Linked DNA regions of Alligator mississippiensis. Each later gene encodes a partner of the first gene's protein in a complex. Links are inferred from orthologs where the notes say so. Each region holds a gene or a part of one and is shown in the gene's direction. Other genes may lie near its edges. The genes, in order: SUPT16H and SSRP1.

Evidence for each region.
Region 2: SUPT16H (region 1) and SSRP1 share a complex: the UniProt entries of both Homo sapiens proteins name them as parts of the FACT complex. The link is inferred for Alligator mississippiensis from reciprocal best matches to the Homo sapiens genes SUPT16H and SSRP1.

The regions. Positions count from the first base shown.
Region 1 is NC_081830.1:3,858,317-3,865,717, reverse strand, and holds the start of SUPT16H (FACT complex subunit SPT16), read left to right. Parts: upstream 1-4,252; 5' UTR 4,253-4,335; coding exon 4,336-4,401; intron 4,402-4,483; coding exon 4,484-4,576; intron 4,577-4,706; coding exon 4,707-4,868; intron 4,869-5,451; coding exon 5,452-5,604; intron 5,605-5,707; coding exon 5,708-5,854; intron 5,855-5,954; coding exon 5,955-6,106; intron 6,107-6,410; coding exon 6,411-6,583; intron 6,584-6,706; coding exon 6,707-6,797; intron 6,798-7,036; coding exon 7,037-7,110; intron 7,111-7,401. Other genes in the region: CHD8 (chromodomain-helicase-DNA-binding protein 8), read left to right, coding at 310-336, 645-790, 988-1,224, 1,476-1,691, 1,867-2,046, 2,349-2,471, 2,730-3,212. UniProt on the Homo sapiens protein: Component of the FACT complex, a general chromatin factor that acts to reorganize nucleosomes. The FACT complex is involved in multiple processes that require DNA as a template such as mRNA elongation, DNA replication and DNA repair.
Region 2 is NC_081825.1:172,856,986-172,864,336, forward strand, and holds the start of SSRP1 (FACT complex subunit SSRP1), read left to right. Parts: upstream 1-4,323; 5' UTR 4,324-4,397; intron 4,398-4,578; 5' UTR 4,579-4,718; coding exon 4,719-4,772; intron 4,773-5,864; coding exon 5,865-6,050; intron 6,051-6,858; coding exon 6,859-6,964; intron 6,965-7,260; coding exon 7,261-7,351. Other genes in the region: P2RX3 (P2X purinoceptor 3), read right to left, coding at 2,471-2,610. UniProt on the Homo sapiens protein: Component of the FACT complex, a general chromatin factor that acts to reorganize nucleosomes. The FACT complex is involved in multiple processes that require DNA as a template such as mRNA elongation, DNA replication and DNA repair.

The DNA.
Region 1 (7,401 bases):
TGATATGCCCTGGGTCCCACACACCTCTAGGGACAGCTCTGCCTGCAGCAGGTCCGGGCGTTCTGGGAGAAAGGGTTAGCTGTGCTAGTTTGAAGGCAGGCAGTGGGCCTAGAAGGCATTTGACAGGCACGTGCCCCAAGCTCTGCACTTCCCTCAAGTGTCCCTCTGCCCCCTTTCCCGGCCTGATTTGCTGCTCTGCTTTCCGCTTCCTTCCCCATCTGCTGCTCTTGTTCCTGCCCCTTCCCCCACCTGCTCCATGCGTGCACGTGGGCTGCCCGTGCCTCTTGTGCCCGGCCACCCCTGTTACAGACCAACTGAATCACAGATGCGTGAGGGGTAAGAACGGGCTGGGCTGGGGTGTCGGAGCTGCAAGGGTCCTTTTAGACATGCCCCCATGTCCTGCTGCCTTTTGGAGTAGCTCTGACAAGAGCAACACATCGCTGAGCAGGGGCTAGACTGGGGGTGCCCCCACCCTAACCCCAGCTTTAATAGCAATAGCTTATTGGGGGAGGGAGCTGCTGCTTTGCCCTCCTCTGTGTTCCCCCTAGGTTGCCCTTCTCTGTCCTGGGAGCTGCCTGGGGCTAAGGGTGGGGCTGCTGCCTCTGCTCACCCCTGCCCTGTCCCTGTCCCTGTCCCCATGCCAGGCACAGAGCCATCCTGTGGAGGGAAGCTGTACGAGGAGGAGGAGTCGCTGCTGTCCTTGCCCACCTCCCGCGAGGGTGACTCACCCCAGCCCAGTGCCCCAGAGCTGCTGCTGCAGGAGCGGAACCGCGCCCACGACTGGCCCAAGGTAAGGTCAGGGGTCCTGGCATGGCTGAACCCTTTCTCAGGTTGCATCCCCTTGGATGTCTGCCTGCAGCGGCAGGGAAGTTGCCGTGGGTCCACTGGTGACCCCCACTTACTCTAACTGGGGCCACATAAATCTGGTTTGTTGGTGGGGGCATATTTGCCATGTCTACATTAACCATCCCCATCTTCCCCCCCCAGGACCGGGCTCTCCTTAGCCGCATCGACTTGATCTGCCAGGCTGTGCTGACCGGGAAGTGGCCCTCTGGGCCACGTGGACCAGAGGTCTGCAGGGGACCAGGAGAGGGCATGGCCCGGCTGCCTGGGGACTACGGCCCTCCTGCCCCCCGTGTCGGCCCCCCTGACGAGGCACCCATGTCCTACACACGGCTGCGGCACAGCCCCGAGGAGAAGGAGTTCACAGTGCAGATCAAGGATGTTAGTAGGGGAGCAGGGGGTGCACACGTGTGTGGGGCAGGGGGTAGGGAGGTGCCCATGATGACTCGCCATGCTAATACCGACCCCCAGCTGGGCCCGCAGCTTGGCTCTGGCGTGGGGGGGTGAGTTCAACTCTTTTCGCGAAGAGCTGAGGCGCCCTGTGGCATGGGAGGAAGTTGGCGGGGGTAGGGGTCAAGCTTTGGCTTCTGTTCCCTATTGAACCTGCTCTGACTCCCACCCCTGGCCCGCAGGAGGAGGGGATCAAGCTGACCTTCCAGAAGCACAGGCTTGTCCCCAATGGCGCCATGCGTGAGCGGCATCAGCCCCCACCCCAGCCTCATGCCCATGCCCATGCCCATGCACACACCCACAGTCAGGGCCATGGCCACGGACATGGACATGGGCATGGGCAGGGGCCACCGCAGCATCTACAAGGCCACAAGAAGAGCAGCAAGAAGTTGGTGGAGGTGAGTGCAAAGGGTTGTTGCTGCTGGGAGAGTGCTCTGGGGGCAGGGACGTCTCTGCCAGGGGCTGTCCCTGTTGCCACTGGTCTGCAGCGCCCCGAGGGGCGGCAAGAGTTGGTCATTCGGTGTCTGTCCCTGTCTCCTGATGGAGACTCTTTCCCCTTGCCCTCGGCCCCAGCTGGAGCTACAGTGCCTGGAGAGTCTGCGGGGCCCTGACATCGACCTGGAGGCGCGGATCCCAGTGGTTCGCAAGACAGACGGGACGGTGCTGGTTGGGGAGGCAGCGCCACGCCGTGCTGACCTCGAGGCCTGGCTGCAGGCGCACCCTGACTTCGCCATTGACCCCCGCTTCCTGGCTGTGAGTGTCGCGCTTATTTGGCCTGTGTGGGGCACCCTGTCCCCCACTCCTCCAGACCCTCACTGTGCCCCCACTTTGCTTGTGCATGCGGCCCCATCTGTGTGCCTGGGGCGGGTGAGTGCTGCCTCTCGGGCTGTCCAAGCTGCTTAGATCTCAGACTTGGAAGGACCTGTGTTCTCCTGGGTGTGGATGGGGGCAGGAGGAGGCAGTTTTGCTCTACATGGGCAGCACCTGGCACTGTGGGCTCTGTGGGCAGCAGAACAGCAAGGCCACTGACCCGCCATCCTGCTCTCTGCCCCTAGTACATGGAGGACCGCCGCAAGCAGTACAAGTGGCACCGGTGCCGGAAGCCAGGCATGGCCGAAGCTAGCTGCCTTCCCGGGCTGGAGCGGGGGCTCATGCCCGACACCCCAGGCACCAAGAAGGTGAGAGGCCAACTGCACCCTACCCCTAAGCCCCCTCCTGCCCTCCCTACCTCTGTTTCAGCTGCAGTGGGGTGACTTGAAAGGGGCAGTTGTGGAGTAGGGAAGGGCTCCCTCCTTTTCACAGGTATGGCCAGGCCTTGCTGGCATCGTGGTTGTTGCAGCTCGGGACAGGGATGGGGGTCCCCTAGGAACTCAGGGGAGGCTGGGGCAGGAAGGTCCTAGCACTAACCATCATCCTCCCTCCCTCCTTTCTTGCAGGGCTACATGCCCGACTCCATGTTGCACCGCCTCCTGCCAGGCCCCATGGCTGCAGCGGGGGGTCAGAAAGCACGGGGCCGCCGGGCAGGCGTGGACCTCTCCAAGATGGTTTCGCTGATGGGGGGTGCAGCACAGGGCCAACTGGGGGCTATGGGGCCCCTGGCCCTGCACAGCCACTTCCAGCCTGGCCCTGCCCCAGGCACCGCGCTGCCCTACGCGCCCTTCCCCGCACCCGCAGCCTCCTCCTCCGCCACCCTACTGCACCCTGGGCTGGGCCACGGTAGCTATGCTCCCGGCCCCCCGCTGCACCTGGGGCACCCGGGCCACCTGCAGCCAGATGAGGACGACGACGAGGACGAAGACGAGATGGACGACTTGTCTCAGGGCTACGCCAGCTCCGAGCGGGACTTCTCCCTGCTGGACGACCCCATGATGCCGGCCAACTCGGACTCCAGCGACGGGGCCAACGAGGAGGGTGACTGAGCGGAGGACCAAGGGCCGGATGGACGGACAGACAGGATAGCGGGACTCCTGGGCTGCCCAGGCCCTGATGGGCGCTGCGGCCGGCTCCACGTGCACGGTGCTGCAGCCCCCGCGGGCGGCCCCGGGTGCAGGCAAAGGAGGGCCCGAGCTGCACGTGCCCCTCCAGCCCTGGCCGTGCCTGCCCCGCCTGCCCCCAGCATGAGCAGCGGCCGCCGGCACCCCCCTCTCCCCATCTCCACCGCCCCCTGCTGCTGCCCCCGCCCGCCCGCCGCCGCCGCCTTCTCGCCCTCTGTCTCTGTTCCTCTGTGCGTGGGCCAAGGGGCTCGCCCCGCGCCCGCTCCCCCCGGGGCCCTCAGCCCACCCCCAGCGGCGCGGGGCCCGGTGCTGTCCTTTCCCCCCCTCCCGGGCTCTATTTATATAAATATGTAATATGTCTTGTGTGATACGGCGGGGGCGGGGGGCCGGGGCGGGGGGGCTGGGCCGCATTAGAGCTTCCCGTAGTTGGATTCTTTTCTTTTCTAATAAAATGAGTTAAAATGCAGCTGGCAGTATTGCCCCATCCCCTGCCGTGAGCCACTCTGTCCTGGGGGGGCACTTGCCCCAACCCCCTTGCCCTGCTCCTGGGGGCATGGAGCCACTGCAGTGGAGCAAAGGTCATGCATCCCCAATGGGGTCACCCTCTTTCCCCCCCCCCTCCTATGGGTTTTCTTTTTTTTTTATGCGTGGCGCATGCGTAGAAGCAGCTAGTGCCACGAACTGCGCGGAGGAGGGGGAGGCTGGAAGGGGACGCGTCACGTGGTGAGGAGGGGCTAAACGCGCATGCGTAGGCAGCTCGGCGCGCTCGCCGCGTCACGTGGGGTAGGGGCCCGGTCCGGCGCGTGCGCCCTGAGGCGACGAGTGCGAAAACCCCGCGAAAACCTTGGCGCGCGCAGAGGGAGGGGCGGGGCTGCCTGAACGCACCCGCTCCTTCACGCGCGCGCGCACGCCGGGGGGGTGGGGTCATGGCCCCGGAAGCGGAAGCGCGTCCCGGGCCGCGCGTTTTCCCCCCGCAGGGTAGGGGGGCAGGACGGAATCGCTTCCGGGCTAGGGGCCGCGGCGGAGCCTGGAGCGCGGAGCCGCCTCCATGGCGCTGAGCCTGGACCGCGAGGCCTACTACCGCCGCGTGCGCCGCCTCTACGCGCAGTGGCAGGTGCGGGCCGGGCGGCGGGAGCGGGCGGGGGGGGCAGCGGCAAGGGGCAGCGGCAGCACTGACCCTCCCCCCCGTGTTGCAGAAGGGCGAGGAGGAGTACGGCGACGTAGACGGCATCGTGGTGTCCGTGGGGGTGGACGAGGAGATTGTCTACGCCAAGTCCACGGCCCTGCAGGTCAGCCCGGGCGGGGGGAGGGGAGAGGAAGGGGAAGGGGGGGCCGCCGGGGCGGGTGGGCGGGCGAGCTGGGCCCTGACCCCGCCGTGTGTGTCCCCCATCCCCTCCCCCACCCGCCCCCCCCCCCCAGACATGGCTGTTCGGCTACGAGCTGACCGACACCATCATGGTGTTCTGCGAGGACAAGATCCTGTTCATGGCCAGCAAGAAGAAGGTGGAGTTCCTCAAGCAGCTGGCCAACAGCAAGGGCGGCGACAGCATCCCCGCGCTCACGCTGCTCGTGCGCGAGAAGGTGGGTGTCGAGGCCGGGGGTGTCTCCGGGCAGGCTGTGCGCGTCCCCCTCCCCCCCCCCCGCGTGTGTGCGGTTCCCAACCGGTCGCTCCCTCGGTTTGCTGGTGCTCGAGGAGCCCCGCGGGCGCCGGGGAGCCGGTCCCCGTGCCTCTAGCCCAGGTGACAGGGGGGCGGTGCTGGGCCGGGGCTGGGGGCGGAGGGAAGGGCCCCGGTGCTGTCTCTGCAGCATAGGGACGGCCTGGGGAAGTTGTGATCCTGGACAGCGACGGCTGGAAGGGGTCTTGGGAGCTCGCGTCTAATTCACTCCCTTGCTCAAAAGAGCCCCTATTACGTCATCCTAGATGATGCTTTATGTAGCCTGTGGTACCAAGTCCGCGATCTTTTTAGGTAGCTCTGTTGTCGAGAGACTATTTTTCCAGATATCAGCAATTTTTTTTGGTACTTTTGTTCTGTCTTCTGGCATCGCTGATGAGTGATACGTCTCTTACGTGCTAGAGGGATAAGGATAGGGGTTGATCGTGGTACAAAACAGGGCATGTGGCCCAGTACCCAGGTGCTGATGTGCCCTTCCCCCCCCCTGGCAGAACGAGAGCAACAAGGGAAACTTTGAGAAGATGGTGGAGGCGCTGAAGGGCAGCAAGGGGGGGAAGCGTATCGGCATTTTCAGCAAAGACAAGTTCCCCGGCGAGTTCATGAAGAGCTGGAGCGACTGCCTCAGCAAGGAAGGCTTTGAGAAGGTCTGCGGGGCTGGGGTAGCTGAGCCACGTGGGAGATTGGGGTAGGGGGTTGGATACTGGTAACGGCCTGGTGACCGTCCCTGCCTTCCCCGCCCTGGTGCAGGTGGACATCAGTGCGGTCGTGGCCTACACCATTGCAGTGAAGGAGGATGGGGAGCTCAACCTAATGCGCAAGGCAGCTGCTATCACCTCTGAGGTGTTCAACAAGTTCTTCAAGGAGCGTGTCATGGAGATTGTGGATGCTGACGAGGTCGGTGGGGGACGGGGAGGGGGCCAGGTTGCACAGTTGCCCAGGCTTCAACTTGCCCCAGTAGCCACCCTGATTCTGTACACCTTACCCCATCCTGCAGAAAGTACGGCACAGCAAGTTGGCCGAGTCGGTGGAGAAAGCCATCGAAGAGAAAAAGTACTTATCAGGAGCTGATCCCTCCACGGTGGAGATGTGCTACCCTCCCATCATCCAGAGTGGTGGCAACTACAACCTGAAGTTTAGTGTGGTCAGGTTGGTGTCTTGTGCTCCCCCCCCAAAATTTGCACGATCATGCACACAGGTGCAGTTCTTTCCTACAAAAAGAGTCCAGTGTTCTTCTACCCAGAGCCCCCCAGTCATCTTTGGTTGAGGTAGGGGAGAGGCCTCCCCACTTACAACCCAGGTAGTGGGGTTTGTCTGGGTCTGTGCTACTCTTGCTGCCTCTTACCGAGTTCCAGCCCAGCTGCTTTTCTGTATGGTGCTTGCCAAAGACACCTTCTGACAGTTGCTCCCCACCCTGACGCATTCATTCTGTTTACCCTTGTTTTCCTGACAGCGATAAGAACCATATGCACTTTGGGGCCATTACCTGTGCCATGGGCATCCGCTATAAGTCGTATTGCTCCAACCTGGTTCGCACCCTCATGGTGGACCCCCCTCAGGACATGCAGGACAACTACACCTTCCTGTTGCAATTGCAGGATGAGATGCTTAAGGAGATGCAGCATGGTGAGCTTGGGGGGAGGGTACCCAGCATGGGGCTGGCTGGGCTGGGGGCTAGGGGTGTAGAGGTAGGAGCATCAGGGCTCTGCCCACCACCCATGTGGTGCTCACTCAGATTTGCCACCCTAGGTGTGAAACTATGTGACGTCTACGCGGCTATCATGGACGTGGTAAAGAAGCAGAAACCGGAGCTGCTGAGCAAGATCACTAAGAACCTGGGGTAAGAGATTGCTTCAGGCCCCCCGCCCCCCCCCCCAGTATCTGCCCACCTCTGGGTTTAGAGGCACCCACTCAGGCTTCAAGGCTGCTGGGGCAGGGAGCTGGCTCCTGCCACGGCGCTGGCAGCCACGCCTTCTAGCCTGGAGCACAGAGGGGGGGGTTGCCCTGGTGTTGGGGCTTTGGGACTGGGGTGAGTGGTGGCTATGGGTGACATGGCTGCTCCGCTCTCTCTCTGCCCAGGTTTGCCATGGGCATCGAGTTCCGCGAGGGCTCCCTTGTCATCAACAGCAAGAACCAGCATCGGCTTAAGAAGGGTAAGTAGTGCCCAGCTTTGCGGGAGGGGTGCCACTCAAGCCTGCAGGTTGCAGGCACCCAAGTCGGCCCCTTTGTGTCCAAATCTCTTCTTTCTGCTACTGCATGGGGATGTGCTGCTACTACTGGTTTCCAGCCTGCCTCACCCAAACCCTGTGAGGCCCTGGCCCCACTTGCATGCTCTCTGCCATGGGGTTCCTTGAACTTTGTCTTGCCACTAGCTCAGTATATAAGGAAGGAGCAGAGGCCCCCTTGACAGACCAGCCCCTACCTTGGGCGACTGGTGGCTCTGT
Region 2 (7,351 bases), on another chromosome or scaffold:
TCAGTCAGTAACCCACACGGTCACACTTCATGTTAACATACACCCCATGGCCTCTTCTTTTTCACACATACAAGTGTCAATCCACCAATCACACTGTCACCCATCACATTAGGATGCACAAAGTCTTCTTTTCCTCACCTCACTCCCCTACCCCATTTTCCATCTCTTGCACAGTAACCATCCCCCCAACACACATGTATTGTCACACCCACCACTCTTTCAGTCCTTTACTCCCAGGGTCACAGTCACCCCAAGATTCACATGCATCCATCCACCCATCTGAGGTTTGCAAAGGCACCTACACACACTTACACCCATACTGTTGTCACTCCTACACTCATGTAAACACGTTCACCTCCTCCATGTGGTCACCCCCTAAACTCATGCAAACACTTCCGCCTCCTCCATGTGGTTACCCCTTTCACCATAGGCAGCAGAAGACTGGCACTAACAGGGCTCAGCCCCCTCAAACGCAGGTTAGTGGGTAGGGCTACAAGGCAGCCCAGCCGTGGGCTTCAGGTGGCTGTAGCAGGGGTGGGAAGAGGCACACATGCAGCCAGAATCGCAGCTCGGCCTGTGGATCACTGGCTGCCCAGCATGGCAGGCAAGTACCAGTCAATTTGGTGAAGGGGAAAGGGCTGTGTTGGGGGGCAGATCGAGGCCCCAGTGCTGAGGGAGGGAGTGGGGCACAGGCAGGGGCAGGGATAGGGTGAATGGGGCCCTGGCTGGGCCAGGTGGTGGGAGAATCAAAGCCTGGGCGGCTCCTCCCCAGTCTGTGTGTGGGGTGGAGGTGGCTGCCACTGCACACTGTGCATTATACCCTGCTGCACCTGCCCTGGGAGCAGCGCAATGCCACATGCCTGCTGCTGCTGGGCTGCGCCCTACCTCCTGCCCGCCCAGTGGCAGGACACACGTGGATTTGTGTGGCTTGGAGGCAGTGGCAGCAGGGAGCAAAGCCCAGTCCATAGCAGCAACCACCTCTGCCAGGGTGTGCATAGTGGTGGGAGCCCCCCTCACCCTTGGATGAGCTGCCTGGGCTGACTGTCCCACAACCTGGCCTGGCTGGGGCCCCATTCACCCCAGCCCCATACCCTGCCCGTGCCCCACTCCCTCACCATGGGGGCCTCGATCTGCTCCCCACAGCCCTTTACCCTCTCCCCACCCCTTCCCCCATAGACTTACTTACTGGGGGGGGGGTACATGCATGCTCAGCACCCCCAAATAGTTTTTTCTCCCTCCGCTTATGCCTTTCATATTTGCGCAGGAACACACACTGGCACCCTTTTCACAGTCACTGTGTCTCACCCCATCCCATACATGTGTGATCTTCTCACCACTCCTTCCCACCCACAGCCATTGCCTCTGGACACATCCATGCAGAGACTTCCACCACCCATTCACTCTGAGGCATTCTTGCTGGTCCCCATGACAGACTCTGCCACCATGGCGGTGAACACAGTGGCTGGGTTTGCACATTCCCCCTTAAGGGTTGATGGGGGGTGTTTGCGGGAATTAGGACAGGGTAAATGAGCCTGAACCCATGGTTTCTCCATACAACCCCCCTACATGCATACACACATACTTGACTACACACGCATGCATTTATGCACAAACATATCATGCATGTCGATTCAGAACACTGGTGGAGCCAGGGGATAGTTGAGTCTCCATGGCCAGACGAGACAGTGCTTGGCACTCTGAGTTGGAGCAGTGGGAGCCTGGACACTTAATCCCACAGTCCTGCCCTTGCAACCCCCTCTCTGATGTCAATGCCAAGAAGGTCCCAGGGAACCCTGGGCTGTGTGTGATGTAAATTCTTCACCCTAGGCACCTGCCTCAGCCTCCTTTCTGGTTGTGTCTGCCTAGAGTTCACTTTCCAGCCCCGCTCGTCTGCACAGCCTTGTGCTCCTGCTTGTCATCATCCCTTTATCTTCTCTCTCCCCTCCAATCCTGAATCTCACCCTCCTGCTCTGGATGCTTAGCTCCACACCATCTCAGTTCACCTAAATGCCTCTCACTCCTTGGGAGCTCATATATGCTTGTCAACATAGAGTCCCAGGACAGCTCTGGGTAGAGGGGACTCTGGAGTTGCTAAGGCCACCCTCTTCCCCTGTGTAGAGCTGTCTGGCTGTTCCCAGGCTGGGGAAGGGTGGGGGTTGGGAAGGATGGGAACTCACTGCAGGTGGGGGGTGAGTCAATCATATTCCACCCTGCCCAGCAAGTACCCCTTCCACCCACCATTTACACATGTGTGCTTGTGGAGGTGTCCTCAGAAAGGATTCTGTGTTAGGGTGGGTTAGCCTGTCCCTGCCCCCTGCCCTTTCTCCTTCAGGAGCAGGGATCACAACTGGACAGGTCTCTGCTGGAGGGAAACTCTTCTCATCTTCTGGGGTTCACCCTGTTCCAGGCTGGAACCAGTCACAGGTTGTCAGGGTGCTGGCCAGGCCAGCGCTGAGCTCCTTGCACTTACCCAATGAAGTATGAGACAATGAGCAGCTGCACGGCGCGGTTGATCACACCGATGGTCCAGCTCTTCACCACCACTGACTTGGTGGTCTCATAGGTGAAGAAGTTGGCTACACAATTCATCCCGGAAGAGACCGTGGGCATTTGGCACAGCGTGGGAAGAACTGGCTAATGCCTGCTAGCCCCGTCGAGATGGGATGCTGAGACCAAGGCAGGGATGGGAGATCAGTGGAGCGATGGGTGATGCTCCCAGAGCTACTTGGGAGGGCTGCTCCTTTAAACCTGGGATCCAGATGGTAGCCTTCCTCTGCCTTGCTGCTACTCTGGGCAGGCTGGAGCTGAGAGACCCCTTTATACAGTCTCCACCCCCATTCTCAGAGGACAGTGATGCTGGTGGGGAGAGGCAGGAAAAGGTGGGGCTTCATAGCCTGTTCATTGCCAAGCAGCTTCCCTGGTGTGTGCAAGCGAGTAGGTCCTTAATGCACCTGATGATTCCAGAGAGGAATCCACTTAGCGCATCTCAGCTCAGCAGCTTCTCCCTGCCCAGCAGTGCTAATGTCCCTCACCCTCAGTTAACTGCCCCTGCCATCCCAACTCTGTGCCAACAGGAAGGGGGAGGAAGCTAAGCAAATACAGATCTCTCTGGGGACAAATCAGCAGCTGGTGAGCAGCAGGTAAAAATGGTCCCTGAAGACTAACATGGTCCATTTACCCGCAGAACAGGCACGCGACCAAGCCAGATGCCCGCCTTGCCTGTGTTATGCCTCTTAACATGCCTAGCTCTTCTTCTTGAAGGGTGAGGGAGGTGTTTATCCCTCCAGAGCTCATGCAGGCCTTGATTGCAGCCCCTCTGCTGAGACTGCATGGAAAGGACTCATCTGATTATTGGAGGTTGACAACCCCCTCCTCCAGTCCTCTGTCACAGCTACAGGGACAGATTGGCCATGCTACCCACTAGGCTTTGTGCTTGCACCACAATGAACTCCCAACCAGCCAGCCACGTGGGTTGGAGTGTTAGAGCCTTGAGCAGAACGTCCGGGAGTGTTGGCTCTGCTGGGACACAGTGTGTGATGGGAACGACGGTTCCAGCAAGCGCACACAACGTATCACGGAGCTCCACTCCACTGCCCCTTGCTTCAGCAGGGCTGGTGCCTGGTGTAATCACCCACACACGGAAGGGCAGCCTGTGGTGGCAATGCAGTGTGACGGTGACACGAGTGTTGCTGTGGGATAGTAGAGAATAGTGTTGGCGCCGGGCCCTCCTGGTCACAGCAGCTCATGCTCTGGAGGTGTTGGTGCTGGTCACACTTCATAGGGGCCATGAAGGCTCCCCTGGACACACCCCGGGGCGCTTTCACCCTGCAAGGGGAGGGGGAGCACGCATCCCCTCTGCTTCTCTCCAGGGGCTGGCCCCACAGCCAGAGGGGTGGGCAGGGGGGCTTGGCAGTGGTGATGCCACAGGTGGACGTCATGACGTCACCACGCCACGTGGCCACCCTGTGACGCAAGAACCATCCTGAGGTTGAGGACGCGTCAGCCCGGGACACTGACCAGGCGGGGGTCGCCTTAATTATCCCGGGGGAGTGGGGGGGGCTCTGCCCAGAGCTCTCCCAGGACTCTATGGCGACAGGCGCCGCGGACCCCGCAGCAGCACCCCCACAGCCGCCACCTCCTCCCAGCCCTACGCAGGGGATTTGGCCGCCAAGCGGCCTCTCTAGCCTCAGGCCTCCGGACACTCTATGCTCCCGAGCGCCCGCCCTCCCCCGGCGCGCCCTCTCTTGCCGGAGGCCTCCCACAGCTCTATGGTAGAGTTGGCGGCCTAGAGCGGCTTGCGGCGTCGCCATGGCCGCCCGGGCCGGAAGTGGGGGCATCTTCCGGTGGCGGAAGCTTCGCGCGGGGTTCGTGTTGCGCAGGCGGGAAAGTGACCCCCGGTGAGCGGGGGAGGCGCGGGGCAAGGGCCGGGGATCGGGCGGAGGGGGATTGCCCCCCCCCGGCCACGTGCCCTCCCCCCGTGCCGCGCACCCCGGGTGGGGGGTGGGATGTGCGCGGCCCGCTCTGCCTCCTCCCCCCCGCGGGGCCGCCCTGGGCTCATCCCTCCCGTTTCGCCGCCAGGTGCCTCCGGCTCGGCCGACGCCCGGTGCTCGCCGGCTGCAGCGGGGTGCTGACGGCCCTGGGCATCCTCCCCGCCGGGTCCCGCCGCCCCAGGCGCTGCCCTGCCAGCTGGGCGCGGGCCGCAGGGGGCAGGAGCTGCCATGGCCGACACGCTGGAGTTCAACGAGATCTACCAGGAAGTGAAAGGGTCCATGGTGAGAGGGGCAGGGGGCGGGGGACCCCGGGGCTGCCCCCAGGCTGAGCTGGACAGCTGCAGGGTGCAGTGGAGGGGGGGACCGCATGGCACCTGCTGCAGGGGCCTGGGGCACGTGGCCCAGCTTCTCGCCTGTCTCCTTTTTACGGTGTGCTTCAGGCTCAGGAGGCTTGCCCTGTGTCAGGCCCTTAAATTTGGGACCTTCTCCCTGTTTGCCTGGAGGGAGGTAGCGTCCTGGAGTCTATGCTGACACCAGCGTTTGGGACTGGGGCTGGCTTACTATCAGAGGAGGCACAACATGATCGGACCCTGTTCGGTTTAGCATCTGTGGGGTAATAAAGGGGCTTTGAGGCTGTCCAGGGGACTGGGGCCGTAGCCCCAGAATCCTGCCTGCGTTCCCAGCTGGCATTTTATCTGGGGAAGGGAAGACTCGTAACTTCCTGCCCTAAACTTTTGAATCGGGTTGTAGAGGTTGTGGGAGGGGTCCACGACTTGGGTGATTGTAGCATGGGATCTGGCTTGCACAAGAAACTTAAGATTGAGGTGTGTCTGTTTGTTGGTTGACCACATACGTGTGCAGGGATTTAAGGTTCATAAGCTAACTTATCTGAGTCCTGGGACATCTGAATGTGTGGCTGCAGTTCCCGTAAATGTTCCCAACTGATTCACGTGCCTGTGAAATACGGCTGAGGAGGGTTCTTGTCTCAAATGGTCGGTTGTTTTTAAAGCCAAAACAGGGTGTGAATGCAGGGCACACAGTGCCAGTTTGGTTGGTTGTGTCCTAAACCATGGAGCTTCTGTGGGAGTCATTGTTGGAGGATGAGGAATGGCTGATTTTGGGGTGCCTTTTGCCCAGGGAGTGGGGTTGCTGGTATGTTACATCTGGCCTGCAAGATGCATACAGTCTTATTTTCAAAAGGAGCGGTAGTGAGGCCTCCTTGGCTCAAACGTAAGAGGATGGTTGGCTTCTACTGGTGATTCAGGGAGCGCTCCCTGGCTCTATCCACTTTGTTCATATCTTGCTCATGGGCGACGGCCTGTGTGGGGGAGGTTCTGGCTCCTGCCCACCAACCTCTGTGTCTCTTCCTGCCAGAATGATGGGCGGTTGCGCCTGAGTCGCCAAGGTGTGATCTTCAAGAACAGCAAGACAGGCAAAGTGGACAACATCCAAGCTTCGGAGCTGTCGGAGGGTGTCTGGCGCCGTGTGGCGCTGGGCCATGGTCTCAAACTGATTACCAAAAATGGCCACGTCTACAAGTATGATGGTTTCAGGGAATCGGTGAGTCCTTTTCTTTTGATAGTGACCAGGGTTAGAGGTGGCAGCTGGTGTCCTTGTGGGGGAGACCTCCTGTCTTCTCAAGAGTGGAGGGGGGACCACATGCTCCCCCCTCCATATGGTCTCTTAGCCTCTTGCTGGATGCTAGGCGTGCAGCTCATGCCCTCATGAGTGTTACATCTTGTTGGGTTCTAATCATGCACCCCTTCCTCCTACCGTCTGTGTATCTTTTTCCTGGACCATACAGTTTGTTGTGACCTTTGGCTCTCAGCTTTTCTGTGTGAGCTGCCAGTGCTTTCTGAACCTGAGTCTCTCCCTATGAACTGTCCAGCAAAGACTCAGTACTGGTAACACCTCCTCCCTGCTGTCCTTTCAATATAATAGCAGGGTCTACCCCAGGGGTGGGCAATTATTTCAGGCGGAGAGTCACTTACTGAGTTTTGGCAAGCTATCGAGGGCCACATGACAGGCAGCCAGGGGCAGATAAATATTAATTTTCTGAATTTTTTTTATGGGCTCTGCGGGCCGGATAGAATGGCCTGCGGACCGCGTTTTGTCCACCTCTGGTCTGCTCTGTGCTTCTTGGTAAGCACTACAAATTACAACCAGGCCACCTCCTGGATGAGTATTCCTGCTAGAGTCTCCTTCAGCTGCTTTGTCATCACCCCAGGGGCATTGCTGTGGTACTAACGTTAGTCTGTTCTGTCGGAGAGGAAGGAAGTCCAGTGCTTTGGTATGGGTTGGGGTAAGAGGTATGGCTTAAGCCAGAGGTTCATAATCACTTTTCATCTATGTTTTCTCTCCCGCTTAGGAGTTTGACAAACTCTCAGATTTCTTTAAATCGCACTATCGCCTGGAACTGGCAGAGAAGGACCTGTGTGTGAAAGGGTGGAACTGGGGAACTGTGCGGTTTGGAGGTGAGTTGGGGAGAAGTTGGATGGGAGGGAGTGGAATTGGGGCACATCTTTGGCGCTGCAGTGAAACTATTTTGGCCCTACTGCAAATGATGCGTGCTGGCAAGAGTGAAGCTGAGAGAGAGGAACCTGCTGTTCTGCCCTTTTGTGCAGAGGCATTTTGCTTTTGGCCATGGTTGAGTAGAAAAGATCAACGAAAGGTGAACCTGCTCATGAAAGGGCACTGGCTGGGATCCCCCACCGTGTGGGGCAGTCTGGTGACTCCTGCCAATCTATTTGGTTTCCACTGCTCTGTGCAGGCCAGCTTCTCTCCTTTGACATTGGGGAGCAGCCAGTGTTTGAGATCCCTCTCAGCAATGTGTCACAGTGTACAACGGGCAAGAATGAAGT